4 linked regions of the Drosophila melanogaster genome follow. The protein of the gene in region 2 purifies or fractionates together with the protein of the main gene of each other region. This does not show direct contact. Each region holds a gene or a part of one and is shown on either strand. Other genes may lie near its edges. The genes, in order: Pcl, esc, Pc and pho.

Region 1 (9,142 bases), on a different chromosome or scaffold from region 2:
GTCTCATAAAACACAATCCAAAATTAGGAATGCAGTTTTTTTTTCTTTTAAAAATGAGCGTAGACTTTTAGAAAATGATTTTTTGGCACTGCACAGATATTAGCGTATGCTCCGAAAACCGAATCCCATCTTTGTAATTCCCCACTGTGCGAACTTACCTAAATCAGAGAATAAAGCGATGAGGCTGCAAGTCGACACTCCGAGAAGTGCTTGAGTACTTCTTTTCGTTCTCGATGGAAATCGGCACTACAGAGATTGAAGAATTTTTTAAGTTTTTTTTTTGTGTTTTTGTTTTTACGAAATAGACCACATTCAAGGATGGCTGAGGATAATTTTTTTTTTCTTTTTCCCGTTTTGAACGTCTGGTGCATGTGCCCTATCTGGCGATCGAGTACCTAATGAAGCGGTGTGAGGCGTCGGTGCCTGACAAGCTTCAAAGCGAAGTGTCACTTTGGGCGCCTACTGGCGTGTCCTGAGTAAAATCTTAAAAGATTTGACATTTCGGAAACATTTATTTGGGCATTATATACTTCATTAAACATATTTCGATCTGGTTTGGCCAAACATTTACTTGGCTTGAGAATTAGTTTGCTTTCAACTCAATTTTGATTTTTCGTAGCATTTAATAGTTAAACATAAAACGTACTGGCTTAATTCATTATTGTGTAGTTTTGCCTAGACTATGGGTGAAAATTATTGAACTAGTCCTACATTTTATTAAATTTGTGTGTATGTATGTATATCAATTGTTTTTTTTTTGTATGCATGACATGATTTGTGAGTTTTCCCATTTGAAGGTATATTTTTCAAAAACATACATGGGCGTGGCGTATCGCTAAAGTACAGTACTGAACTTAACTGAATTGTTCTCATTATTTAATACGTTTTCATTCATCAGCGAATTTTACATAGGCTTCCAGATTAATCTTGTAATACTTTTACCAATTTTGTGAAAACTTATTTATGTTCTGCTGCAACACTTAACTGCCATTGCACAATTATAACCTGTATTCAGTTGCTTTTTGCTTTTTTTTCGTTTTTTTTTTTTACAATTTAACATTTTATCGCTTTAATGCTGAACCAATATTTTGAACAATCTTTTTCTATTTTGGCAGTGGGTTGGTAATAAACTTTTAAACATTAACAAATAAAGAGGCCCGTAGTTGGCAGCGTTCATTAATACATAATAACGAAAAGAAATGATAATGGAAATGAAGAATATAAAATTCATAATGAGTCGGTATGCCAAAGGGTTCAATTTCCAAGCAATCCAATCGCCGTTGTCGCTGTATCTCCGCCCCACTCCACCAGGTACTGGACCTGTCCATTTCCCATGCGCCGCTTGGCCCGAATGGCAAAGGGCTCACCAGCATCTATGCGATTCATAGCGCCACCAAAGTACTTGTTCACCGACTGCTTCAAGTCCAGCATGGAATGTCCTGGGGCTCCAATGCCGTTGCTGCTGCTGCTGGTTGCCGTCGAGCTGGTGGAGTTCCGGCGGCTTTGGCTGGGTGACTGCTTCTGTGGTCGCTGGCGCAACAGGCGCCCATGTGTCGGCTTTCCCATTGGCGGCGCGGGTGGCTGCAGATCTTTGGCATAGATAGGAAGGTAGTGGCTGGGTATGGGATTGATGGTGGTGGTGCTGATGACCTATTAAGTGGAAACGAAAAAAACATCTCAAACATTATAGTTACATTGTTGTTAGTTAAACTCTTACCTCAATGGCCGTGGTCAGGCGGCGAGTGCGTCGTCTGCGCACTTCCTGATTGGGCCCTATCGTAATGTCTTTGGCACTCAGTCTTCGCTTGATGGTGCGCACCATGCGCGGCTGCTCCTTGGAGGTGCCCTTAAGCTTGAAAATGCTGTTTATGATGCCATTTACTCCGACTCCAGTTCCCACAGAAATACTTCGTCCCTGCGACGCCTTTTTGGGAGTGGCCATAAGGAATGGATTGTTGCGTCCCAAAAAGTTGACCGGCGGTGGTATGATGAGGTCCAACGAACTGGTTCCCCGACTGCTGCTTGAATTCTCGTCGGATGATAGATCACAGTGATTGCGGCTGTTGTCATAGCGTTTGGACAATCGGAAAGCCTTGCGCTTCCGACTGCTGTTTGCGTCCAGCAGAGGTGGAATGGGAGCTGGTAGTTTGCCGGGATCGCCATCGTTGGCATTGTCGTCGGCGAGGTCCGGCTTCAGTGGCAACTCATCATGCTTATCGGCCTTCTGAGCGGCCTGCTTTTTGGCCTTCTCAATAATCTGTTTGATGGGTATTTCGTCCTCGCTGGTCTCGACTGGGTCATCTTCATCTGTATTAAACTCATACACATCTTTGGGAACTCTTTTCGGAAGCTCGTTGGCACCTTCATCAGGCTCCTCGGGCATGAGCATTAGTTTAAATCTTTTTTCGAGCAGCTCATCGGACAGCTCCTCGTGGGGCTCAAGGAATACCTTGGGAATGTGTGGCGGGCCACTGTGTCTCAGTGCATAGAAGGCCGGAGCCCTTTTAAACTCCCTGCCGCAAACAAATCTGTCAGAGTAATCCTTAAGGGTTTGCTTGAGACGCTCCATCAGTGCCGTTTCGGGCAGTGTGCGCCACTTCTCGCAGATAGGCAGCTGGTGGCGCTGCTCGAGTATGAAGGGCCAAATGTCATTTAGCAGGTGATGGTACTTCTGGTGCTGATGCTTTCGCAGATTGTATAGTGCAATGTGGAGCACATCCACCCATTCGATTTGCATACGACGAACGAATTCTATGCCATTGTTGCAGACCGTGCAGCAGAAAACAAAGAACCTAGACAATGAGATTCATTTCAGTTTAGATCACAGTAAAGCAATTGAATACGTACATATCGCCGCGCAGCAGCTTCTTCTTGAAGTTCTGCATGCATTGGGTGTGGAACCAGTTCCGACATTTGCAGCACTGCAGCATATTGTGATCGAATTTTCCCGGTTTGCCGCAGTAGCAGTAGATCTGCTCTTCGTTGACCCGATGCTTCTCATCCCAGCTGAGCTTATCCGCCTGTGGGTAAAACCGGATTAAGAATCTAATCCGCTGGCTTGGGTTCGTAGAATACTCACATGGTAGGGCAACTGGCGACAAATTCCCGCTGGTTTTGTGATCTTATGGCTGACAGGCTGTTGCATTTTCATGGGTTTAGCGCAGCGTTTGCAACTCCAAATTCCACTGCCAGTAACAATTTCAACGGTGCAACCACGATGGTAGCCACGTCCGCAGCGCTCGCAAATTTCGACCACATCTTCGATATCCGATCGCTTGCAGGCCACGCACATGGGTCCACTGGGGGAGGTATTCGTGGATTCCGTGGTAGAGGCACCGCCTCCGCCAGCGGTAATCGAGCTACCGCCACCTAGCTTGCGCAGCTTATCCGGTTCACACCATTGCTCCGACTGGTCATCAAAGCGGATAAGATATTGATCGCTTGTCTGGTCAATAATGGTGCCCAGGTAAAATCTGCCATCGTTGCATTTGATGAAGACGTCCTCCTGAAGCGCATACGTGACCGCTGGCGAGGGAGCGGCAACTGGTGGTGCCGGCGGCGGTGGTGGTGGTGATGGAGGTGTTGGCGGCGTTGGCGGTGCTGCTTCGACGGTCTTGAAGCTTGGCTTCATTGAGTTGACGCCTTTGAGCAGCGATTGCGTGGCTAGTAGCGGAGGCGAGGGCGAACTTTTACCGGGTGAACTCATGGCCTCCGGCGTAGTTGGCGGTGTCTGTGGCGTTGTGGTCGTAGAATCCGGCTCATCCACAATCACAACTGCTGCTGAGGTGGTCGCGGTACCACTATAACTGCTGCTGGATACAGAACTGCTGCTGCAGCTGCTGCTATCCGCCGTGCTGCTGTCGATGAGGGGCAGGATGGCCTTGTGCTGGATGGCCGGTATGATGGGCGAAGGTTGTTGGGCCGTGGTAAGCGATGAACTTAGCGAAGTGGGCGTCTCCGTATAGTGGTTATTGATGCAAATGTTTATGCGGTCTAACACGACGGTGGAGGGCGGTGAGGTGGAATTGGTCACAGGCACCAGCGGCGGCGGCTGCAGTTGCTTGCCAGTTCCGCTGGCCGCCAGTAGATTGATTTGTCCCGCAGTTTGGCCACCGCCACTGGGCAAGTAGTACGACTGAACGGGAGCATATGTGGAGTGCGCTTCCTGTGGCGGCTTATTCAGACTGTATACACTTGGCGCCGTCGAGATGATTCGTATGTTGTTGGCCTTGAATGGGCTGCAGCTTGTTGCCGCCTGTTGCTTCGGTGGCGTTGATTGCTGAGCGAAACTGTTCGTGATCTGGATGGTGCTGGGATGTGTGGGATGCGTGGTCTGCGGCCCAGTGGTGGCATAGTATCGCTTGGCCACCGTGGCAGGTCCTACGCTGGGCGGCAGGATCTGGTAGGTGGTCGTCATCCACTGCGGCTGCTGGCCAGCTGGCTGTGCTAAGTAGCCGTAGGTGGCCGGAGGAGCTGATGGGACAGCGGTACTCGGCTGTTGCATGAACGGATGTGCCACGTTCTGCGGTGGATGATCGTGTTGCAAGTGAAAATGGTTGTTCATCATTGCGGCTGTGTGTGCGTGCTAGATGCGTTGATTTTTCCAGTGCGCAGTCTTTTGTGAAAAATATGGATCTTCAGTTCGATTTGCCGGCTTTTCGCGGCCCGTTTTTTCATTGATTTTGCGATTGTTTCCCGCTGATTAACACGAGCTCATTAATCTGGCGCCTTTTTCGTCGAATTTGTTGTTGCCCGCCGACACATACATGCACACTTTTGCTACACATACGGACTGGAGAGCGGGCCCTTTTGTATTCTCTGTGTCTTCCTCATTCGTACTTTTCCACACGCACCACAGGCACTTCTAGTTTCGGTTGCCGATTTACCCACCTTTAAGTGTGTTTCGAATCGTGCATTAAATTAGCATTTTGCTCTTATTGATTCGGCTATCGGCTTTGAACGTCGTTGTCCCAAGTTCATCTTTAACACCAGCGAAAATGCACAAAACAAATCACTTGAAAATTAATTTGTGTCAGCCATTTTTCAACATATGCCCACCAGTGTGACCGCATCCAACAATTGTTCTTTTCGTTACATTTTCATATATAAATCTACCACAACTTATGTATGTTATGGTAATAAAATTAACTTGATTAAAATAAATAAAGAAATATTGGAAATTTGTCACCACAATTTTACATTTTTATATTTTTAAATATATCGAAACGTATAAAATATACCATAAATTTACTTAATTATCCCCACTGTGCCGGCAAAGACTCAGCGGTCTCGTCCTGGAAAATACTAGAAAATACATTTAAATATTTCCTAAAGATTCAAAAACGTTAATATCATACATAATTTACATTTTAAATGTAGAGTGACAATTATTAAATCAAATTAAAAAAAATAAAACTAACATTTATATTAAGGTAAAACTTTTTGATTGTCAAAGTAAATCCTATAGAAATTTCAAAATGAATGTTAATTTTTTTAGTAAGTATGCCCTTTGTATGCTTTTATGTACAACTTATCTAAAATCAAACCAACTAATTTTAATTTTAACTCATAATTATCTTAAAGATATCAAATAGAAAATACCAAATACTAAAATCCCTATCCTTTGGTCTGCCGTATTAAAATCGACAGTTGCCTATCAATTAATGTTATGGGTACACATATCAATACTAGCTTTAAAAACAAATAACAGAATTTGATAAGTTTTTAGTATAATGATCATCTAGTAATTGGGGTCAATTATATGAATACGAAGTTGCGCGCCAGAAAATACTAGATAAAAACCAGAGGACCAAGCAGACAGCTAGCAATGGTATATATAGCAGCGAACTTTAGTTCGATAGGTTTTTACCAAATTGGTCACGCTGCGAACAGAAGCAATTTTACTTGACGGAGGTTTCATTAAATTTTCACTTGTGAATAAAACGCGAAAAAGCACTTAAAAACCGAAGAACTGTGTAAAACAAAAGCGGTACGCCAAGAAAGTGAAGTGTAATAACTAAACTAAACAAGTAAAACGCGAGTTTTTCACTTCGCGAAAGGTTTGTGAGCTGCAAAATTGTTAAGGTAAGTAGGTTGAGCAGGAGAAGAAGAACTGGAGCTCCATTTGTGCAAGTTGGTGGCTCGAATGACGCACTTGGCTGCAACCGAAAACATTCGATTCGATCAGAGCTGCAACTTTCACATCAAAATTGTACCCATATGTACATTTTACATATGTATGGTGTACCTGGACACGCACACTGATTCCCGCACCCATACACACACTTAAACACACACACATACAGCGGCGTGGAAAAGTGAACTGTAAACTGGAAAAAAAGCGTTTGTGTTGGTGTTGGTGTGCAGTGAATTCATTGAGTAGTACTCCTTTCCAGGCTGCTGGTCACTTTATGTCCAGGTCGCGTTCATCCGCTAAAGCCGTGCAGTTCAAGCACGAATCGGAGGAAGAGGAAGAAGACGAGGAGGAGCAGCTGCCTTCCAGGAGAATGCACTCTTACGGAGACGCCGCGGCCATCGGAAGCGGGGTGCCGGCCTTTTTGGCCAAATTGTGGCGCCTGGTGGACGATGCCGATACCAATCGCTTGATTTGCTGGACCAAGGTAAGCCTACGCCGCCATATTGTTTATTTACCTTTCCAGGGACTCCCCTCCCACCACATACCGCTAATCAGCATGGCAACAACAATGACTTGGCCATGCAGGTGTCTCAAGCTCTCTTTGTAGCGTTTCGCTCTCTGTTTTGTTGTTGCCCATGCCGCATCGCACGTATGCAAGTTGCCTTCCCCACACACTCATCTTGTTGTTGTTGTCGATGTTGCCATTTGCATGCGTACGTGCGTGAACTCTGGAAAATTTTCCATCTCCAACTGACAATCGAATAATTTCCCTTGGTCATTCAGTTGGCTTTTCATTTAAGATAAGAGTAATTGGTTCTCACTTAGGTTACCACACACTCTTAACGAAGAGTTTATTGATAAGCATAGCCTACCATTTTTTGTCGACAACATATACTCATTAATATGTGAGTATGAGCGTAACATAATCTAATTTTCAAATCCAATATTTTTAGCGTGTTTCACGCATAAAAATCTCACAAAAATTTGAATTTTAAATGAAAAAGTTGACAAATTTTATAAAATACGAATTTTTTTAAAACGATCATTTTATACATTATATAAGAACACTAGTTCCAGCTTTGGCTCGTAACTATAGTTTTGCATCTATAGATATAATTACAATTAGCTAATTATTTTCGTTGCTTATCGGTTTTGGTTTGCGGCCAACCGCTAATAGGTTTGTGGCAACTACATATCAGCACAACTCTCATATCGCTTCCGTTTTTCGTTTTATTTTTGCAGGATGGCCAAAGTTTCGTTATACAAAATCAAGCGCAATTCGCCAAGGAACTATTGCCACTAAACTACAAGCACAACAACATGGCCAGCTTCATAAGGCAATTGAATATGTGTAAGTAAATGAAACATCGTTGAAACATCAACTGAAAACTAAAAAAAATTTGTGCTTTGCAGATGGATTCCACAAGATCACCTCTATTGACAATGGCGGACTACGTTTTGATCGCGACGAGATTGAATTTTCGCACCCATTTTTTAAGCGCAACTCGCCTTTTCTACTTGACCAAATCAAAAGGAAAATATCGAACAACAAAAATGGTGACGACAAAGGTGTCCTGAAGCCGGAGGCCATGTCGAAGATTCTCACCGATGTGAAAGTCATGCGGGGTCGTCAGGACAATCTGGATTCGCGCTTCTCCGCCATGAAACAGGAGAACGAAGTGCTGTGGCGCGAGATAGCCAGCCTGCGCCAAAAGCACGCTAAGCAGCAACAAATAGTCAACAAACTGATCCAGTTCCTCATTACCATTGTGCAACCGTCGCGCAACATGTCTGGCGTGAAACGCCACGTGCAGCTGATGATCAACAATACGCCGGAAATTGATCGTGCACGGACCACCAGTGAGACCGAGAGCGAGAGTGGCGGCGGACCGGTTATCCACGAGCTTAGGGAGGAGCTTCTTGATGAGGTGATGAATCCATCACCGGCTGGCTACACCGCAGCCTCACATTATGACCAAGAGAGCGTCTCTCCGCCTGCCGTTGAGCGTCCGCGATCTAACATGAGCATTAGCTCGCACAACGTCGATTATTCGAATCAGAGTGTGGAGGACTTGCTGCTCCAGGGAAATGGAACCGCTGGCGGTAATATTCTAGTAGGCGGAGCCGCTTCTCCCATGGCCCAAAGTGTGAGTCAATCGCCGGCCCAACATGATGTCTACACAGTCACCGAGGCGCCCGATTCTCATGTCCAGGAGGTGCCAAACAGTCCGCCTTATTACGAGGAGCAGAATGTGCTTACCACGCCCATGGTGCGGGAGCAGGAGCAGCAGAAGCGTCAGCAGCTTAAGGAGAACAACAAGCTACGACGACAGGCAGGAGATGTTATACTTGATGCTGGAGATATTCTCGTAGATAGTTCGTCGCCCAAGGCGCAACGGACAAGCATCCAGCATAGTACGCAACCTGATGTGATGGTCCAGCCAATGATTATAAAGTCTGAGCCGGAGAACAGTTCCGGACTGATGGATCTAATGACTCCCGCGAACGATCTGTACAGTGTTAACTTCATCAGTGAGGATATGCCGACGGATATTTTTGAAGTAAGATACATTTTAAACATCTTATGGTAGTTGCTAACTCTTTTCTCTTAACTCTTTAGGACGCTCTGCTTCCCGACGGCGTGGAAGAGGCAGCCAAACTGGACCAGCAACAAAAATTTGGGCAATCGACAGTGAGCAGCGGCAAGTTTGCCAGCAACTTCGATGTGCCCACCAACAGTACGCTGCTGGATGCCAATCAGGCCTCGACATCGAAGGCAGCGGCCAAGGCGCAAGCATCTGAGGAAGAGGGCATGGCTGTGGCCAAATACAGTGGCGCTGAGAACGGAAACAACCGCGATACCAACAACAGTCAACTCCTCAGGATGGCCTCAGTGTTAGTAGACCAGAAGAATACGAATTCAAGTCGGATAAGCCATAATCAAGCGGCTAATTCTTACTGTTGCAGTGACGAACTCCACGGGCACTTGGAAAGCATGCAAGATGA
Region 2 (4,543 bases):
GTGAACAGTGAAATTCTTGAAGGTTCAACTTTAGAACATGATTGACAGATATTTTATTTAGAGTAAGGCAATCTTCGTGGGAAAAGTCCAATCCACTGCCCCTACTAAACCCAAAAGCTTTATCACAATCTCTCAACTGATGTTCTATTTATATATTCTTTCTTTCTATTGCCAAAACTATTTACCTAAAACCAAAAAAAAAAAAAAACATGAAAACTAAATGAAAACTTTTGCACAAAACACACAAACAATCCGAATGCTATGCAACGTCAAATCAACGTGGTGTCTCGTTGCCCAAAAATTGCCCATTTGCATTTTCGCTGTTACTCACTGCCAACTGCTGGGCGCCGAAAAACTTGACCGCCTTGGCACTCGAAACTGGCGCCCAACGTATGCCGGCCATTTACTTCTGCAGGGAGGGCTGCAATGGGAATTGCAAGAACCTGAACTGCAGTCGCCATAGCCACGGACGCGATGACCAGCAGCAGGACAACAACAACTCCAATAGGAGTTGCAGCCTGCAGGAGGCGTCGCCTGGGGGAGCAGGTGCAGGTGTCACACCAGGCGCTGACAACCAGGACAGCATAGAGAGTCGCACCAAGGGCGTTTCCCAGGCGCCGCAGACCCACAGTGGCCCAACGGGTCCACCATCCAACACCTCGAGCGAAACTATCGCACAACCTGCCCCTAAGCTTCAACCCGCCCTGGAAACCGTAAGGGAATCGGTGATGGAAGAAAGTCCTTCGAAGGATCCCGGCGACAAGGGACCACCGCCGCCCGCCAGCACATCCACATTGACATCCCAAACCACCACCTCCTCCAGCGCAACCGCGGAGCCAAGTGCCAAGGCGGCCGAGAGTCAAGCGGGAAGTGCCGGCAGCAGTGGCAGTTGCAGTAACCCAGCGGCGGTGCATCGGCAACGCCGCCTAAGGACACCCACCTGGGCCAGGTCCATGTCGACGAACAAAACGTACTTGAAATTTGATTTCTATGCTAGACTAACGTTTATCCGTTACGCCTCTTCAGTTCGTTCGATTTGCCTTTATCGTTTCACGTTTGCGTTAACCAACCAACAACCACACAGCTCCAGAATGAACTACTTTCTATATATACACACATAACTCTATGAACTCTGTCTCTCTATCTCTCCTTTATCCAATCTATCCATCTGTCTGCTGACCTCTGTCTGCGATTTCCACTGCTGTAATCTTCTGTCTAGCCTCTGTCCCCTACCCCAAATCTTTTGCTCGCTTCTGTTGTAAATAACTATTTTATCCTAGACTAATCAAAAAAAAAAAAAGAAAAAAGGACACTTGTTTCGTTCCCCAGCCGCGCTCAGCGGGATTGTAAATGTTTCGTTGCCGCGTTTGGACAAAAAATTGCTTACTACGTTTAAATACTCCGTGCAACTATTAAATCAAACTTACATTCATACGTAGTAAGCACTTGAAGGAGTGAGAACTGGAAGATATACTTTAAATGTATTCAAAACTGCTTAAAGTATTTGTATGATACATTTGCATTTCTGAGAAACTATATCTTCCACTTTTGACGCCACTCGCAAGCAGCAACTCTCCTAGTCTTGTCGACCAGTGTAATTTTGTGAATACATGTACAAAGTTTGAATACCGCACATGAATCCATGGCATGTTGATTGTCCTACATTTGTTTGTTTTCTATATTAAAAAACTAGCTTGCGCATGTGTTTTGTCGTTTTTGAACTTTTTTTAACTTTCCCGCCTAAGTGTGTTAAATACCGTTTAATGTTTACCAACACTGGCCAGCCGATCGTGACCAGGTGGCCACGCTGCGCAATGGTAAGACCGTACTGCCTGCAATGCCTGGGTATTTTACGCGATCCGTGACTGGGGTCACACCATTGCCGCCAAAAAAAAACATTTTCATTCGCCTCGTTATTTAAACATTTAAAAAAAGCATTATCGAATAGTTCATTGAAGTCGCGGCCTAATTTGGGTTTCATTTAACCGTACAAACGTGCCGCGCGTTCGAAATGAGCAGTGATAAAGTGAAAAACGGCAACGAGCCCGAGGAGTCGGAGGAATCATGCGGCGTGAGTAGCGAATGACAAATGGCTGTGCGAACCGAGAATTAATGGATCTTTTGGGCCATGTGCCGGCTGCAGGATGAGTCGGCCAGCTATACCACCAACAGCACCACCTCGCGCAGCAAGTCCCCGTCATCCAGCACGCGCAGCAAGCGCCGCGGTCGCCGGAGCACCAAATCGAAGCCAAAAAGTCGCGCCGCCTACAAATACGAGTAAGAATATGCACTTTCTCAGCTGGCCACTGATACTGAACCTACAAATGATTACCATGAAGCACCCACGTGAAGGAGAACCACGGAGCCAACATCTTCGGCGTAGCCTTCAACACGCTGCTGGGCAAGGATGAGCCACAGGTCTTCGCTACGGCGGGCAGCAACCGGGTGACCGTCTACGAGTGCCCTCGACAGGGCGGGATGCAGCTGCTCCACTGCTATGCAGATCCGGATGTGAGTCGCCAGGATACAGAATACACTTTCAAGACCCTATTGATCAGTTGGCTAAAGTTAGGGGCTTCATACATTAGACATCGCATTCAAAGCTGTAGAAAAAGTGGGATCCAGTCAAAGTTTCTATTAAATCATTGCTTTTGTTAATTGTTTTAAAGTAAGAACAATCGTTACAGGCTTTCAGCATGGTTTCACAATATCCAAACATTTATCATTTCTTGTATTAAGTTTGGTTTTTCATAACAGTCAAGTTTTCAAATTAAAGCTTATATTGTTAATTTAGCCGAGAGTAACTGAGAATATGGTCGCAAATGTAATTGTACAAACTCGAAATACATCAACAAATCTTGAATTCCCTTCCCAGCCCGATGAAGTATTTTACACCTGCGCCTGGTCGTACGACCTTAAGACCTCTTCACCTCTCCTGGCCGCTGCTGGATACCGCGGAGTCATCCGGGTTATTGATGTCGAGCAGAATGAGGCGGTGGGCAACTACATTGGCCATGGACAGGCCATTAACGAGCTGAAGTTCCATCCGCACAAGCTACAGCTTTTGCTTTCGGGCAGCAAGGATCACGCGATAAGATTGTGGAACATCCAGAGCCATGTGTGCATTGCCATCCTGGGCGGAGTGGAGGGACATCGCGATGAGGTGCTGTCCATCGACTTTAATATGCGTGGAGATCGCATTGTGTCGAGCGGCATGGATCACTCGCTGAAGCTGTGGTGTCTGAATACGCCCGAGTTCCATCACAAGATCGAACTGTCGAACACTTTCAGCCAGGAGAAGTCAACGCTGCCTTTCCCCACGGTGACCAAGCACTTCCCCGATTTTTCAACGCGGGATATACACAGGAACTATGTGGACTGTGTGCAGTGGTTCGGCAACTTTGTGCTCTCCAAGTCCTGCGAAAATGCCATTGTCTGCTGGAAACCGGGACAACTACATCAGAGCTTCGAGCAGGTGAAGCCGAGCGACTCCTCCTGCACGATAATTGCGGAATTCGAGTACGACGAGTGCGAGATCTGGTTCGTGAGATTCGGCTTCAATCCGTGGCAGAAGGTGATTGCCCTGGGCAATCAGCAGGGCAAGGTGTATGTGTGGGAGCTGGATCCCAGCGATCCCGAGGGCGCACACATGACCACCCTGCACAATTCGCGTAGCGTGGCCACTGTGCGCCAGATAGCCTTCTCTCGCGATGCCAGCGTACTGGTCTACGTGTGCGATGACGCCACCGTGTGGCGATGGAACCGCAGACAAACAACTTCCATCTGATGGCGCAGCTGGGCGCAACCACAAACCAAATCTCACGTGGCCAAAACTTACAACATTTCCCTCAATTAGTTCCTAGTTGGTTAGCATTAAGATATAGAATTACGCTCCTGTGCTGTTCCAAATTATTTCAAGTAAATCCAATTAATAGTTGGATGAGATTTAAATATGTTAAGCCGGTTGCTTTTTAGATGTAAGAACGAATAGTTGTTGCTTACTCTGCTGCCTTTATTTATTGTAAATAAAGTGAGTACATTGTAATTTCACATGTATATAAGCAACATTGAAGATGTATTTTCTGCTTAACCAGAATCCAAACTGCTGCTCTTTAAGCCATGTAAACGTCTTCAAGCTGACTGAGTGTCCCCAGTTGGCAATTCTAATTGCGAAACAAAGCAAAGCTGCGCATAACAAATGGCTTTCAATTGCTACGTCATTTATATGCATTGCTGCAACGCCATCCAGCTCCAATCTGCTGGAAATGCGGCGAATAAGCGCGACGAAATTGAAACTGCCAACGGGCGTGCGAACCGGGATGAGTGGGAAACCAAGCCAGGCCAGGCGGACAGCGATCCCGACCAGCCATAACAGCTCCCAGCAGACTGATTAAGCGAGCAGAGTCCCACAATGATTTGCCATGCCCTAGCTGGATTTTTATCGAACGCTTCTCTCTCGTTTTGATGAAAGTGCAGGCCATTTCCATCATGGGTTTTTTTCTTTTTTGGGGGGTTGTATCTAATGGAAGTTTATGAAAATAGC
Region 3 (8,494 bases), on a different chromosome or scaffold from region 2:
ATCCTGCAAGATGGCCTTTAGGAAAGGTGGAAAAGGTGCATAAGGGGAATGATGATAAGGTCCGAGTGGCTAAAGTAAAGATGCAGGAAGGATATATCACTAGACCCATTACTAAAATTTGTCCCTTGGAAGGAATAAAGTCTGTTGACAAAAATGAGGCTGACCAAGAGCCAAAAAGACGAACTAGAGCGACATCGGGAATGTCCAAGATCGGAATCATTATGGCAATGTTGTTGTTTGTGTTAAGTTGTCAAGTTTCTAGCGCATTACCTAAAGATATAGCACCAAGATATTCTATAGACAGAATAAATAAAACCTCAGCAATATATCTAGACCCGCTAGGAGATGTTGAGATTGTGAGTACTTCTTGGAATTTGGTTATCTATTATAAAATGGATCCATATTTTAAAATGTTAACAAAGGGTAATGCGCTTATACAAAGTATGAGGAAAGTTTGCGAAAGACTTCATAGCTTTGAAGAGCAATGTAGTCTAGTTTTAGATAATATGCAAAGTCAGTTATCGGAACTTGAAGAAAACAATAAATTGTTTATGATACAGTCTAGATCTAGAAGCAAGCGTGCTCCTTTCGAATTTATGGGTTCCTTGTATCATATTTTATTTGGTATAATGGATGAAGATGATAGAGAGCAATTAGAAGAAAATATGAAGAATTTGTTAGATAACCAGAACAACCTTGATAAACTAATTCAAAAACAAACATCTGTGGTTGATTCAACTTCTAATCTATTAAAGAGAACAACAGAAGATGTTAACTCCAATTTTAGAAGTATGCAAATAAGAATTGAGAACATGACAGAAGTTCTTAAAGAAAATTATTATGTTTATAAGGAATCAATAAAATTCTTTATGATTACGAAACAGCTACACTCATTGATTGAAGAAGGCGAAAAAATTCAAGCAGGCATTATAAGCCTGTTGATTGATATTAATCACGGTAGGCTAAATACAAATATTCTCAGGCCAAATCAGCTTAAAAAAGAAATTGCCAAAATTCAGCAGAGTCTTTCGGAGAACCTAGTAATTCCAGGAAAACGGTCAGGTACGGAACTTAAGGAGGTGTATACACTGTTAACAGCCAGGGGTTTATTCATCGACGATAAATTGATCATTAGTGCAAAAGTGCCTCTGTTTAGCAGCATCCATCCAAATTGTTCAGGCTTATTCCGGTGCCAATTCGAAATGAAGATCGGATAATAATGGTGCATACAACGTCCGAATATTTAATTTATAATTTTGAGATAGATTCCTATCACATAATGACGGAAGCCACATTAAATCAATGTCAGAAATGGCAACTAAATAAGAGAATATGCAAAGGAAGTTGGCCCTGGAATTCAGCGAATGATAATGCATGTGAGATTCAGCCTCTAAAGCCAGATAAAGCGGCGAACTGCATCTATAAAACAGTAGTCGACTCTAAAAGTTACTGGGTAGAGTTAGAAAAGAAAAGTAGTTGGTTGTTTAAGGTTCCTGCGAATTCAAAAGTCCGTCTGCAATGTACTGGCTCTCAAATTGAATTGTTTGATTTGCCTCAGCAAGGAGTTTTAAGCATTGCGCCATATTGTACGGCAAGAACCGACGATAAAATTCTAGTTGCCCACCATAACATTCAGTCCGAAAGTGAAGAATTATTATCAACACCTTATATAGGAGAAGTTAGTGGAGTGCCGAAGATTATTTGGGATCCGCTGAAACTATCAATATTAAATCATACTGAGGAATTTGAACGATTGAATAATGAAATTAAATTTATGAAAGAGAACCATCAAAAATTGAAAGATTTACATTTCCATCATATTTCCGGACATGCTGGATTAATTATTGCTTTAATACTAATGATAGTATTAATAATATATTTCATACGGAAATGTGCTGTGCAACAAAGAATGCAAGCAATAACCTTTGCAGGTCCGTTGCCAGTACTATAAATATCAATAGTAAATAAACAATAAAATAATATAACAAATAAAAATATACAGTCCACTAATAGAAAATGTACTTCTACATAGAAAAAGCAAAATGTTTAAAATAAGTTAATTGAGTACAAATTGTTGAATTAAAAATAATATAAACCATAATTGTAATCCAATAAAATTAAAAGCCAGAAAAACTAGGCCCATTGAAATCTTAGTTGCAAAATAAATGAACATATATCAAATAAATACAGTCCACTACTGTTATAAATGCAACTAATATACTAATGTACATCTCAGCTTGCTGGCCCTTTGGCAGAATGTTCACACATGAACACGAATATATTTAAAGACTTACAATTTTGGGCTCCGTTCATATCTTATGTAAATGAATCGAGAGCGATAAATTATATTTAGGATTTTGTTATCTAAGGCGACATGGGTGCATTGCTCAAAAACATGTAATTTAAGTGCACACTACATGAGTCAGTCACTTGAGATCGTTCCCCGCCTCCTAAAATAGTCCCTTAGTGGGAGACCACAGATAAGGTCCTCGCCGCTCAAGATAGGCAGATGTGCCCGAGCGTGGGACCTCGATAAGGCGGGGACTATTTACTTAGGCCTCTGCGTAGGCCATTTACTTTAAGATGCGATTCTCATGTCACCTATTTAAACCGAAGATAATTCCAAATAAAATCAGTTTCTTACAAAAACTCAACGAGTAAAGTCTTCTCATTTGGGACTTTACAACTATATTAAAAAGCTTAAAATATACGCTTTGAATTGCTGTTTTGTGTGGAATTTACGCCGTAACTAAAACTAGCCAATAAAGAGCTAAGACAAATAGAAACATACGCACAGGACCCATGGGAAATAAGCAGGAGTTTGTAAATTCCCCGCAGCTCCCACGTAGTTTTCTGTTTCATAGCGTGAAAAAAAATTGTGAAATAGACATAGGATTTAAGTAATGAGTCTATGGGCTCGATTTGGAATTATCTGTGCACTGCACCGCTCTGAACCCATAAAGGCAGCACTTGAGTCTTGAATGACTGCTAAGAGAACATGTTAAAATAAATATTACGTAGAGATTTTGGTTAGCTAAAGTCTAAAAATATTTGTAAATCTACAATTGTATATATGTTTTTGGGGTTTTCTTTTGTAAAATCAGTCGGCGCGAGGAAATATAATATTAAACAATTACAACATTGGGATAGCCAACTCGGCAAACGTGGTGGTGACTACTCGAATATATGCATCTTCTATTGTATATATTTGTAAGCGTAATCAACAATTGCTTCGGTTTCGCATGGAGTTTTCTTAGCATTTGAGTGTCTTGTGTTGTTTTCAATCAGATTCAAAGTGTTATAAAAAATATACAATATGTGGTAAATATATGTAACATGTACATACATATTTATCTACGCTGCAAGTTTTACAATCTATTGCATTGGCAAGTTAAGCAGCCGCAGCATTTCGCCTATTCACTAAATGACAACCAGATTAATCTTAAAAAGTGATATTGCAGAAAAATAAATTTTTAATTTAAATAGGAAAATATTCAATCATTGCAATGCTGATAAAAAAAATGAGCGAAAATTTATGTATATATAAAGTCATTTAGTAAATACCCGACTTGCGCTTGCTTAAACTACTCTTGCACATTAAACATTGTAATAAAACAACAAACTAAAACCTACGCTAAAAATAAATACAATAAATTAGTTAAGTCCTAAAGAGAAAATGCTTAGCAACATTTAGTGTGGATTTCTCTGCATAATTCTTCTCTCAACTTTCTCGCATTTTGGTTTGTCTATTTACAATTGTATCAGTTTTCCGGTTTGTTTTCCCGACATTTGTTTGGGTCGAAGCTCAAGCTACTGGCGACGAATCGCCTTTCATGTCGCGCTCACGAAAAAACCCGCGCTCCGTCTTGCACTCGCGTATGGTAACGGTCTCCAGGTTTACGGTGACGTCTGTGATCACCACCCGGTTGGATATGTTGCATTTGGCCGGCAGCCAGAAGCGCGGCGGAAGGGCACGCGGCGAAAGAGGAGTAAGCGGCTGTTTCTGGTTGATAGCCAGGTTGTTGCACGGTTTTGGTATGTTATTGTTCTCGGAAGGAACCTGTGGCGCCTGTTGGTTGCCTTCCTCGTTGGCTACTTCTTCTTCCTCAGCTCCGGACTCTGCGGGCGTTGTGTTTATGGCTTCTGTGGCCAGTGGGGTGGCCTGCTGCTCAGATTTCAGCTGCGTTGCAGCCTCGCTGGCAATCTTTTCCGCTTGCTGCTGATCCTGGAAGGGCTGCTGCTGGCTGGGAGTTACCTGCTGGGTCGGCTGAGGCTTAATAGTGGGGCCATCTGGGGAGGTCTTAATCGTAACTCCAATCTTGCCCGATTCCTTGAGCACCTCGGCTTTGCGTTTGGTGCCGATCAGCGGCTGATCCTCGGAGCTGGAGGAGTTGCTGTCCGGCTCGGGGACAAATGAGTTGTGCGTGAAGCTGCTGTTCGAGGAGGAGCTGTGATCAATGCGCTGACGCTTGGACTCGTGGTGGTGGTGATGATGATGGTGGGTCAGCGGAGATTCCGAGCGCCGTCCACTGTTGCGTTCGGACTTGATGTGGTGATGATGGTGGTGGTGGTGATGGTGCTTCTTCTCCTTCTTCGACTCCTTATCGTGGGTAGCCGATGAGGTGGTGGCTTGATGCGTGTCCACATCGTTTTCGGTGAAGGTGTACTCATCCTCCTCGGATTCCGGCTCCGGATCGGGTTCTTTCTCCTTCTTCTTAATGCCTCGCTTGGAGGGAGTTCCGGAGGATTTGTTCGTTTGTTCGTAGATGTCGATGAGGCGGCGATCCAGGATGTTTACCTCCGGTTCCCAGGTGTTGTAGCGCTGGTTCCAGCCCTTCCACTTGACACGGTACTCCACGACGCCCTGGAAAATCGAGTAAGTGAAGGAGTGGGGGTGGATTGCATTTTCTTAGACAACTAATTGATTTTCCATTCAGCGAAACAAAAACACGCCTCACATACACACACACACACATACGAACGCACTACGCACACACACATGCATCGTGCAAATGGTGGTTGCAGCAGCAGATGTCCTCTGGCCAAAAAATGTCGAAGGACATGTGACCTTGTGGACTATACATATATCCTGCGTGTGCTGCGCATATTGCATTTGCCATTTTTAGCGGAGCATCCCGTTTTGGTCGCCTTTTTCGAATTTGTTTACGCTCATCTCACCTTCTTAACGCGCTTTTGGATGATTTTCTCAGCCGCGTACACTAGATCGACTGGATCGTCGGTCGCATTGTCGCGCCCCAACTTCCCCTTACTCCCCTTGCCTCGACCAGTCATTTTTAATTAATAATCTTCTCGGAACGTTTTATTATTCGTTTTATTTGCAATTAACTTCTGGTTTACAATTCTGCGTACGTCGATAGTCGTCCGACTCGATTATTTTCATGTAAACAATCGATAGTGCTGCGAGGTGCAGAGTTACCGTGCTACAAAGAACTGGGATCATATCTTAGCAAGTAGCCGTGTCGCACACCCTTTCCTGGCAAAATTAGCAAAGACTCAAAACTTTGATGACTAGACACACCTAATTGTGCGTTTTTAAAATGTAAATGTTTTGTTAAAATATTTTCAGAATTTCTTGACATTTTTCTATTATTTATAAATGGGGTATATAAATGTTTTAGAAAACATTTTTTTGGCGCTGTTGCCTTATACACTATTTTCTTTTATCGTTTCTACAAATTACTAAACCGGCGAGAAGTTAAACCAATTAGCTTAAATATAAAATAGCTTTTAATCAAATTTTAATAAGCGCATTTTTAATGAATCCTTTGTACAGTATTCTTTTTAAACTGCATGTTGAATTGAATTCCAGGTAACGAAATATTATACTTTCGTTAACGTTTATCGTTGTGTTGCTTTCATCCCATATTGAGTTTTGATTTTCCTTTGTCCTGCTTCACTTATTGTATCACAAATTGCCACATATACTTCGCCCCATATTCCTATTCAATTAAGTTTGATAATTAACTTGATTACAACTGAACTAGTTACCCTCTTCGAACTCTTCAAATGCCACATCCTCAAGAGGGAGAGAAAGTGCGGGAGAGAGTGTGAGAAAGCACAAGAGCGCCGAAAGCTCAGGATGGATGTGAAAGGAAGTGGCCGACTGCAGATATTTTATGCCAGTTGTATGTTGGCCGAGGGTTCGCGTGGCGGGGGCGGCAACGACGATGACATTATTTTATTTATGCTGTGATAGTGAAATAACAACAACACCAAGACCAACAACTGAAATAACACCCATTCCCTTGAAATCAATCGCAATATTTTCGACGAGGGACGCGAAACGCATGGAGAATCTTCACACTTAACGACGAAAACGAGAAATTAACCAAAAGCTTTAACCAAAACATAAAGAAAAACACCAAGCAAATTGTTGCGAACCCTATAAATAGATTAATGTTTAATTCATAGTGAAAACAGCACCAATTAGCGCATAACCTATAAAATATTAGTCAATATGTTTAGCTAGTTACAATTTACATAGATGATATTTAATTAGTGGCTTCAAACAAAACACCAAGCAACCAAACAACCGAACAAAAAAGGGGAAAAACCAATACCTAGTTCAATTGTACGGAGCGAAAAACTAACGAATAGCGATTAGGAAAACTGGCCAACTGATAAGGCTGGCGAAAATATTAAGCTTATAGCATATAGGAAATAATAATAGCAACGGCAAACCACCCCATCTCCAGGCGAAAGCCCCGAATAGCGGATTCATTCAGAAAAACGTGCCACACAACCGGACGGGAGCGACGGACAACGGTAAATGTCAAAGTCATAAAGAGAAAACTCGGAAATGCCGATGAGAGAAAGCTCAGAGAAAACGTCAAAACTATGAGAGGCGATAAAAGCTAGCCAGTTACAGTTATATTGGGAGAAGCAATGCCAAGTGTCAAAATCGCAAAGAGAAAGTAACAAAAGAGAGACACAGCTTAACGAAAACTTCCGGTTATTTTTTAACCAGTAGATTGAGCATTACGGCCATATATTAACGCAAACAGGACAATGGAATAGCTTGTATTTATCAGTCGTTTTGCCTAAAAAAAGAGTTTATAAAAAGAAAAGAGAAAGGAACGCCGCAATAGGAGGTCATACAAATCCTCAGAAGAGGGGTCGATGATAATGTGACACAATTCTATTCAATATGCGCAAATAAAAGAGACAGTTTCGGAGTTAATTAGGGGAAAGCCTAGATAAAGCTCAGAGCAAATCCCGAATCTAAACCAATGAGAAAGTGAAAGCTCAGGATAAAAGCGTCAGCACAACTTTTGGCCAAGACACAATCCAATAAAATCGAAACCAATGGCCAGCACAGCGGTGGGACTGGGAGGCGGCGAAGGTGACCCCGGGGCGGGAGGACCGCCAGCGGGATCAGCGCATCCCGACGACGCCAGCAGCATGAGCGACGACGTCTTCGAGGATGCGGAGACCACCCAGGCCAGGATCGAGGAGCTGCGTCGCCGGCCCTTTGGCGATGGCTCCTACAATCCCCCCGCAGCGCCCGCCTCAGTTTCCGCCTCGATAACGACGACAACGACACAGCAGCAGCAACAACATCACAATCCTTCGCATCACCACCAATCCTCGCACCACCAACCATCCCACCACCATCACCACCACCACCACAGCCAGCTGAGTTTGACGGGCAGCCATCACTACCACGACGATGCTATCATGGCGCCCGTTCAGCGCTCGGCCACCGGATATCCTGGCTATCGTCCCTCCCGCGAGGCAATGCAGATGTATGCGTACGGAACGGATGACTACGACGATGACTATAACGATGGTTGGCGATCGTATCGCTACGATGAAGTGGACATGCACCCAGCCCCGTCCAACGCCCATCAGCAGCCCTTCGATGATACGGTTAACCACAAGACGATCCTGCTGGGGGATTCGGGCGTGGGAAAGACCTCCTTCCTGGTCAAATACAATACGGGCGAGTTCCGACTGGGTTCCTTTTCCGCCACAGTGGGCATTGCGCTTACGGTGAGTTTTGAATACTGCAGTACCACAGTTTGTAAGTAGAAACTACTCTAGCTCCATATGCTGTAACTCGAACCAAAGGATTACCGTTTTATAAACTACTTTCTCGGTAAAAGCAACATCAAAGCAATGCAAAGTACTTGGTAGCCTAACCCGTGAATTTAATGATATGCCAACTTAAATACAGAATGGAACTCTCGCATGTTGACAGATGTTGGTTCGAGTTGCAGAAGTTCGAGCGTGGTGCCCAAGCTGTGGAACTCACTTGGCCTTAAACTTGCGATTGTGGGCGAATCCGTAGCGCTGCCTGCTGCATGAAACCCGCACAGTAGCCTGACCCCGCCTACTTAACCAGCCGCCCCTTTCCCCGCCCATGTATTGACGCACATTCGAATGGGCTCGCTTATGTAGTAAGAGTACGTCTGTGTGCATTGGCCTGCTGTGTGTACCTAATTGGGGAGCAGTTCCTGCTTTTGGTAATATA
Region 4 (8,046 bases), on a different chromosome or scaffold from region 2:
TTTCCATCGGTATACAAAAAACAATTTGGCTACGCCCACTCTTACGTCCACAAACCTCCCACAACTGCCACGCCCACTTTTGAACACTTAAAATTTTTTCTCATTTTATTCACCAATATCTATCGATATCCTATAAAAATTATAAAACTTTGCGTTCACAGTTCCACCAGCTGAGTAACGGGTATCTGGTAGTAGGGTTTATGTAAAAATAAAGAAAATATTAAAATAAATAAAATAAAAATAAAAAAATAAATTTGAATTCGCCGTTTGGATAATATGCTCTAGGAATTTTTTCTTGTTATAGACCTAATCCAACGTTGAGCCCTCGTGATATTGATAAATGGGAACATCAAATATCTATAAGTTGTCAAAAGCACATTATATTTATAGAATGTCCTTAAAATTATTAATATTTAAACGTATGGTTCTATATTGCACCCGCAAATCTGACTTGTGTGCAAAACGTTAAGAAGTGAGTACGTAATACACACATATGTGTACAATCCCGAGAAAAAACGTTGTATTTTTTTATTTTTTAGCGTTTCTCTTTACATGAAAATTTTTTTTACGCTCTAGTTCCAACTCTACACCTCCCGCGCAACCAAACGAAGGGCGCTGCCGAATATCGTATGGCTCGATTTGCGAGAGGATAGATGACATATAAGAAACAATAAAATTCAAAGATCCATATAAATAATAGTAAGATATATTTAAAAAATCTGAATTGGTCGGCTTAATAGCTGCAGGACTAGAATAAAGTCTTTTATAGTCAGAACATTATGCTCTGTAGGGGTCTAGTAGGATCTACAATGATTTAAATTATATATAAATGCCTAATAAATCTGCTTGGAACAGAGAACTTTCCGACTAAAAACTGTTCCGAACATCGTTCTACGGTTAGCTAACCGTTGGGAAAGTAAATTAATTAACTATACTCGAATTAGGAGGTAATATAAGGTTTGAATAAATTAAGGCGTCGTAAGGCAAACAGTTTTATAAGCCGATCCATTGCGGTCCAAGTGAACTACATATTGTGGACTTCAAACAGACGATCCATACTAAGGATCGAACGGACTAGCGAAATTAATAAGGTTTCGGTTATATAAAGACCATCAAATTCCTTTGACCACCTTTTTATAAAACCAAGCATACCCCTATTGACAATAGATGAAATATGGTTTGAAAATTTAAGCTTAAGGTCCAGAACACCATGTGTTATTCTGTCCAAAAAGCACCCACCAATAGTATAAGTCACGTGTATTAGGTTGACTCGACAAAAGGTCATATATTTACACTTGGAGCCATTAATGTTTAGTTTATTTTCACGCCACTTTATTTGAAATCTATTTAGATCGGATTGTAGTACCAAATACCATGACTGGCGTTGTGGAAGCCATGGAGAAATAGTATGTTTTTAACTCCCGAATATATATATAGTATATAGTGACGTAATTAAATAATTAGAATTGTCCACAAAAAAAAAAGATCAATATCCCAAGCGGGCAATCTCGCACCGGAAATAATATAAACAAATGGGCAATATGTGACATATTCACATAATCAGCACTTTCAGAAGAAATACAGAGTGGCGATTCCACGCCATGTACGCTAGCTGTATACAATAAATATCTTAAGCGGGCGATCCCGCTCCAGAAATAATGTAAACATAGGCAGTATAAGAAAGATTTTTGTCACTAACATATAGTCTTAAGCTGAGATCAAAAGAATAAAGACGTGAAAACCATCTCTATGATAATTTTTTATTTCTTAGCGTTGACCTTAGTCAACTGAAATTAGTTAGACTCAAATATATAACAATTATTTTACTGTATGCATGTATGCATATAGTAATGCATATTAGTTTACTTTTCCATGAAAATGCATTAATTATATATGTAATTGTATTTGTTGTATAGAAGCAATTACTGGACCACCGGCGGATGAAAAGGTGGACGACAATACGCAGCCTCTTTATTGAAGCAATATTAAAAAAGAAAATAATAAATTTAATAGATGAATTCTTTTTTGTTTTTATTTAAAACGTCGATGTTTTTTCAACATATTTCGCCAAAAACATCGATGTCCGCCATCATCGATATTTCTCAATCTCTATTAACAGAGTCAAATCAAAGACATTAGAATAACATGATTGGTAACGACCATACGTTGGTTTAGCACAATGCAGTCACTTTTTTGGTGACGGTCAATATTGACATTCTCTGGTAATCGAATTCGTAAGAATTTTACTTTTGTCTGGGCGAAATTAAAAGTAAATGCCTGTTATACATACATATATCTATCAAATCAGATCTTATTAACTAAGGAAAAAATATTTTATTCAGTGGTCTATCGATGTTAATTCCAAATCACCACAAGATCATTCTGCCAATGCGTTATTATACAAAAAATGTATTTCCGACCCCACCTCAGATTTGACAAACAACATTTTGCCGTCAGCAACAAATATTTTCGATTTAGCAAGGGGATTAGCAAAGGAGAAGTACGTTCCCAATATTTATTGCGAAGGCTGCCATACTGTTGGTAAAACGAAACAGGCAGGTAAAAATACTTATAAAATATAAAAGAATTCATTAATGAATTTCAGGAATGGCCAAAAGAGTTGTATGTATTTAATTAAATGTATTTTTATTACTTAAATGTCAAAGTGCAATAACAAAGTAATTGCGAACGTCGGACTTAAAACTGTAAAAAAAGGTGTCCGCTCTATGGTCTGGAAAACAGCTTGAACAGCTGTTTAATGTTTACAAAACATTCCGATAGCAAAAATTTTGCGAAAACCAAAACAGCTAAAAACGAAATCAAAAGATTTTGCCCAAATCGAAATAAAAAATAAAAATTACAGGAGCATGATTGACTATAAATTATCGCTGTGCATGCTTGGCATCTCTTACATCAGCACAAAACACAAGGATTGGCAGAATTGGCGCTTTTTCAAATCTACAGCAGAACACAAGATCAGTAGAGATGTTGAACCATCGGTGCCTGATCCCACGCAGTAGAAACTTTCCCCTTTCGTTTAACAGTTGCCTCTTTTAAATCTGTTCCAGTCTCATGTTAAGCTTTGTTAACGATGGGAAATTGGTTATAGCATGATTGCACTCGTTTTCCGAAATGAGGATGATTCCATTTCCACATTTTCGAAATGTATTTGTGGACCGTATCATATGAACTTTATTTATCACTAAAACTAATAGAAAAATATACACATTCTTTGATAGGATTTTCTTTAAGCATATGAAAAATTTAATTCATATCGGTTTACAAATTTGTAGTATTATTTAATTTTATGTTTTGCATGTATATTTCAAGCTATACCGATATAATTACAGAGATTACAGCCAGCTTGTTCTATATTTAGAAGCTAGTCGACGTGGAATCAAGATATATTTTGCGTTGTAAAAAAATACTAAAGTTTAGTATGTTGCAAAAAACCCAAATATTTAGGCATCGAATACCCATGCCAAACAAGCAGAATAACCTTTTCAATATTTTGAGTCATTTGGTATCGCGTTTTATAAAAATTACTTGAATTCTTTTGTTTTCCTCGGCTTTTAGTGAAACAATTCGACTATCATTAAATTTATGTGGCGTTTAATTAATCTTTCGTATTATTTCAATCAGAATTTTTTTAACATATTCACTACATTTTCTTAGAGAACCGTTTGTCATATTTAATGTATATTATGTTCCCTACTTAAATATGACAATTATTAATTCTGTGTGTGTACGTATCAATCATCCGTGATATTATATTCATGTCTTATATTGCCTACATATGGAATAATGGCAGTAAAAATGCTGTTCTTTCAGATACATCAAATAGCCTCAGGGAATGCAACGCTCAGGAAACATACAAATCTTACCTAACACATGTGCCTACAATTATCCTGGCATTTGAAATGCTTTAATACTAACTTTAAACTCATGCGTATGTGGATTATAGTATTGTAAATATGGCATACGAACGTTTTGGAATTATTCTTCAAAGTGAACAGTACGATGAAGATATAGGCAACACAAAAGTCAATCAGAAAATGAATGAAGGTAAGTTCGGATTTTACAGGCATGTCTATGTTTTGAAAATCGAATTATAGCAACAAAGCACTTTTTTATAAAGCGTAACAACAAAATACTGTTTAATGAAGCATAAAATATAAACATATTTACTTGTTATACCCGTTAGTCCTAGAGTAAAAGGGTATACTAGATTCGTTGAAAAGTATGTAGAAGGAATCGACCACAGTATTCTTACTCATGATCACTAGCGCCAAGTCGATCTGCCCGTATAAACGTTGAGATCTCGGGAACTAAATAAAAGATGTGAAAGTTAAGATAAAGCATGCACATTCTAGAGAAAATTACCACTTCTACTCCAACGCCCACAAACCTTCAAAAACTGTCAAAACTAAAATTTTAATATTGTTTAAGCCGCCATACTAACATTTTTAAGCCAAGCCCAGATCGTTAATGTCAGCTTTTAAGCGCCTTGGCATCGAAGAAATGAAGTATCATCAGATTGTTCAGTAATATGTTAGGTTAAGGTTTTTCCAAAGGAGGCAAGACTCGGAAGACTATCACTCAAAACACAGTGTTGACGGGTGTGAGGCTAATCCTCATCTCTCGTGAGTTACCTGTAATGGCGGAGACGCCGGGTACCCATGTAAGCGTTAGTTTGGGTGTGCTGTAGACGTTCAAGTTCAATAATGGTGTTGCTCACAGGCACGCTCTTGCTAGTGTTCGCTTGAAATGTTAATATGCCGCATGACTGTCCACAATCAAAGCTGTTATTCTGATTCCCATCTGACTCACATCGTTCTTTAATTGCTAAACTGCAGAGTCCTTATACCCTTGTGAGCGTTAGTTTAGTGTGCCGTAGATCTCCCAGTTCCATGATGGTGTTGCGCACAAGACCCGTTACCTTTTCGCTTTTGGCTTAAAGATTTAAAGAATATTATATGGATATGTACGGATTTGCGGATATCCTAATGTGCTTTTGAAGACATAGAATTTTAATTTAAAGTATTTTTAATTAGCTGCGCAAATAATTTTGTATAGAGAATATAGTAGCTAATTTGGTTGAAAATTTATCACGCTATATAAGTATTCTTAAACTCGCAAAGTAAAAGGGGTTTCGAAAAACAATGGCAACCGAAGGAAGCGTTCCCGACCCTATAAAGTATATATATTTTTGATCCAGTGAACTACCCAAGTCGAACTGGATATGTCTGGCAGTATGAATGTCGAGATCTCAGGAACTAAATAAGCTAGAAAGTTGAGATTAAGCATGCAGATTTCAGAGACAAATCCGCTCAAGACTGCTATTTGATTATTTTTCTCCACTAGTTGCGTAATGGGTATCTGATAGTCGGAGAACTCGAACATTTTCTCTCCTTTGTTCATAGATTTAAATATCAACATGCTGTGCATGCTTGCTTACACTGATATAATCGCCTTTACCCGAAATTGTCTGCCTGTACTTGTTCAATATTTATAAAGTATTAATTACGTTATAAAGTATATACATTATATACACTTTTTGTCCGTTTCTAGGTAAACTAGTTTCCAAATTTGAAAGAATTATTTCTTTAGAGGATCAATATACAGCTGAATTCATTGAAATATTTTCCCTGATCCCTCCCTCTCTTTCGTGAGCGACTTTTATTTTACTTTTGTAGAATGGACATTTACTTTTTTATGGTGTTTATTAGAATAGAGTTGTCTGATGTTGTTTAACGAAATAAAAATTAAAAAGTGAATTTGATTAAGTTGATTTGCATATTTAAAAGGACAATGCAATAAATAAAATTTTAAAGAGCCCAGAAACGAGGAAATAAATAAAACAACAAAGTATAAGTGTAATATTAGTAAGATCTAATTATGTGTTAAAAAAGTTATAATTGATTGCTGTAAGAGCGGCAGAGAGTAAAGATTACAGATAATAGGATTACGTCTATTATAGTCAGAACATAACATGAACATACAGAATGATTTAAGATTAAGGGTATGTAGTTTCTAGTGAATATACTTGGAACAGAGAAGTTTCGCCGAAAAACCAGGTCGGGACTACTCGTATCGTACTACTCGTAAACTTACTAATAAAGACTGTTCCAAGCATCGTTCTACGGTTAGCTAGGGAGGGTAACTGAATTAGAATTAGTCTACTGGAATGAGGAATAGGACCCACAAGGCAAACATTAAGAATTTTTTTTGGACCCATTCAATGATGCCCAGTCTCTGCCTAGCCTTCGTTGCATACGGACGATCGCGATAGTCTAGTCTGTTTGTTGTAACACATCAACAACTCTTCCAATCGTACTGTGCACGCGCACAATTTCTATTTCTATCCAATGCACAGCAGTGGTGACAGACAATTACGTTACTTATCATAGATAAGCTCAACCAAGCCGACGCTTTGTAAGCCCCTCAATTGTTATCTCTCGAGCTTGCGAAGTTGACAACTAGTAGTAACACCAATGTTACCAACACCATAACCACCCAAGCTAGCTGTTCGCAGGCAAGAAGTGCTGCAATGTCTGAGATGCCATATTTTTGGGCGTTCCAAAAACTATTGTCTCCGGGGTTCAATCTGTGGCAAGCGTGCTGGGCCCCACGCAACTGGCTCTACGCTATGCACGAGGGATAATTATTTGTGTATCAACTGCGGTGGTGATCATGCTGTAACTGACAAAAACTGTCCTGTCAGAATTGGAAATAACCCAAGGCTCCCTACTTTTGTTGCTCATGGCAACACTGTCAGCTCTGAAAAAGGTGAAAGCTTTACTCACGGATTCATTCCGGCTGAGGCCATCAGAAGCAATATTTCAACCGCCGATATTGTACAGGCCAAAGGCCCTAAATTTGGTTCACTTGCGACTCACCAACACCACAGTGATCCAAACTCACCACAAGACTTAGGCTTTGGAAAAAAGTTTCGCTGGAAAGCGCCATCCAGGATATAAACTCGAGAATGGACAAAATCTTCAAACTAATTGAGGAGACTGTAGAATCAAAAAAGGTTTTTAGAGAACTGGTTCAGATCTTCATATCACGGACGTCAAAATGACCCAACCAATAATAAAAATCGGATTGTGGAACGCACGAGAACTAGCTAGAAACTCTGAGGAGCTTCAGCTTTTCCTTAGGATGCAAAATATTGATATCATGCTTGCCACCGAAACAAACGTGCGGGAAGGACAGCGTATCTCTCTACGTGGTTACTCCACCTACGACGCCAGTGGAAACAGCAGAGGTGGAGCCACTGTCATAGTGCACTCTTCCTTGAATCATTGTCCCCAACCCCCAATCTCAACCAACGACCGGCAGGTAGCGAGCGTGCAGCTGCAGACCTCAGAGGGAACAGTTACTTACCCACCCAGCGAGCGGTTGATAAAAGCTTATATTGAGTAACTTTTTGTAACACTTGGTGGCATATTTATGCAGGTGGAGACTACAATGCAAAACATCATTGGTGGGGAATCTCAAGAGCCTGCGCCAGAGGCTTGAGGCAAACAAGATGCGTAACGCCATACGATTTTTTGGCACATGGCTCTAGAGGTGGCTCCAGGCTCTCTCGAATTTTTGTTAGAGAGCGAGAGAGCGAAGAGCGCTACAGCGAACAGCTCTTTTCAACGCACAAAGTGATAGCAGACATCTGTATGTGTGCACACTATGCTCATGCATTGTAAATTTGACAAAATATGCCCTTCACCTCAGAAGTTCTTAGACGTTATATCTATATTATTTTTGATCAAATGGCACCATGCGAAAAATTCTTGTTTTGCATTGCCTTAACGTTATTATTATTTGAAAATAGATTAGAAATAGCCAAATCTATGTACATATTATCACAAAAATAAATTTCAAAAATGACTTTATATAAGAATATTTGTCATTAGAGTATTCATCTTGCGGCGTGTGAAAAATTAATAAGGCAATGATTGTTGAGTGCTTGTGTCCGCACTTCGTGCCTCAAGATATGAACAAAGCAAAGACACTATTTAGTATATTTATTAAATCATTTGACTT

The links.
Region 1: the proteins of esc (region 2) and Pcl purify together in Drosophila melanogaster (affinity purification with western blotting; 4 studies listed by BioGRID, with this or other methods). This does not show direct contact.
Region 3: the proteins of esc (region 2) and Pc purify together in Drosophila melanogaster (affinity purification with western blotting; one study listed by BioGRID). This does not show direct contact.
Region 4: the proteins of esc (region 2) and pho purify together in Drosophila melanogaster (affinity purification with western blotting; 2 studies listed by BioGRID). This does not show direct contact.

The regions. Positions count from the first base shown.
Region 1 is NT_033778.4:18,131,349-18,140,490, reverse strand, and holds Pcl (polycomblike), read right to left. Parts: upstream 5,066-9,142; 5' UTR 4,568-5,065; coding exon 3,080-4,567; intron 3,021-3,079; coding exon 2,848-3,020; intron 2,793-2,847; coding exon 1,718-2,792; intron 1,651-1,717; coding exon 1,255-1,650; 3' UTR 501-1,254; downstream 1-500. Other genes in the region: Hsf (heat shock factor), read left to right, coding at 6,411-6,620, 7,379-7,487, 7,550-8,697, 8,757-9,142. UniProt on the Drosophila melanogaster protein: Polycomb group (PcG) protein.
Region 2 is NT_033779.5:11,826,704-11,831,246, reverse strand, and holds esc (extra sexcombs), read left to right. Parts: upstream 1-1,841; 5' UTR 1,842-2,011; coding exon 2,012-2,071; intron 2,072-2,143; coding exon 2,144-2,277; intron 2,278-2,339; coding exon 2,340-2,511; intron 2,512-2,875; coding exon 2,876-3,787; 3' UTR 3,788-4,043; downstream 4,044-4,543. Other genes in the region: Pde1c (phosphodiesterase 1c), read left to right, coding at 416-970. UniProt on the Drosophila melanogaster protein: Polycomb group (PcG) protein.
Region 3 is NT_037436.4:21,312,619-21,321,112, forward strand, and holds the start of Pc (polycomb), read right to left. Parts: upstream 5,403-8,494; 5' UTR 5,293-5,402; coding exon 5,179-5,292; intron 4,865-5,178; coding exon 3,806-4,864; 3' UTR 2,688-3,805; intron 1-2,687.
Region 4 is NC_004353.4:1,177,067-1,185,112, reverse strand, and holds the start of pho (pleiohomeotic), read left to right. Parts: upstream 1-3,484; 5' UTR 3,485-3,523; exon of another isoform or gene 3,524-3,745; intron 3,746-3,831; 5' UTR 3,832-3,974; coding exon 3,975-4,065; intron 4,066-8,046. UniProt on the Drosophila melanogaster protein: Polycomb group (PcG) protein that binds to the 5'-CNGCCATNNNNG-3' sequence found in the regulatory regions of many genes.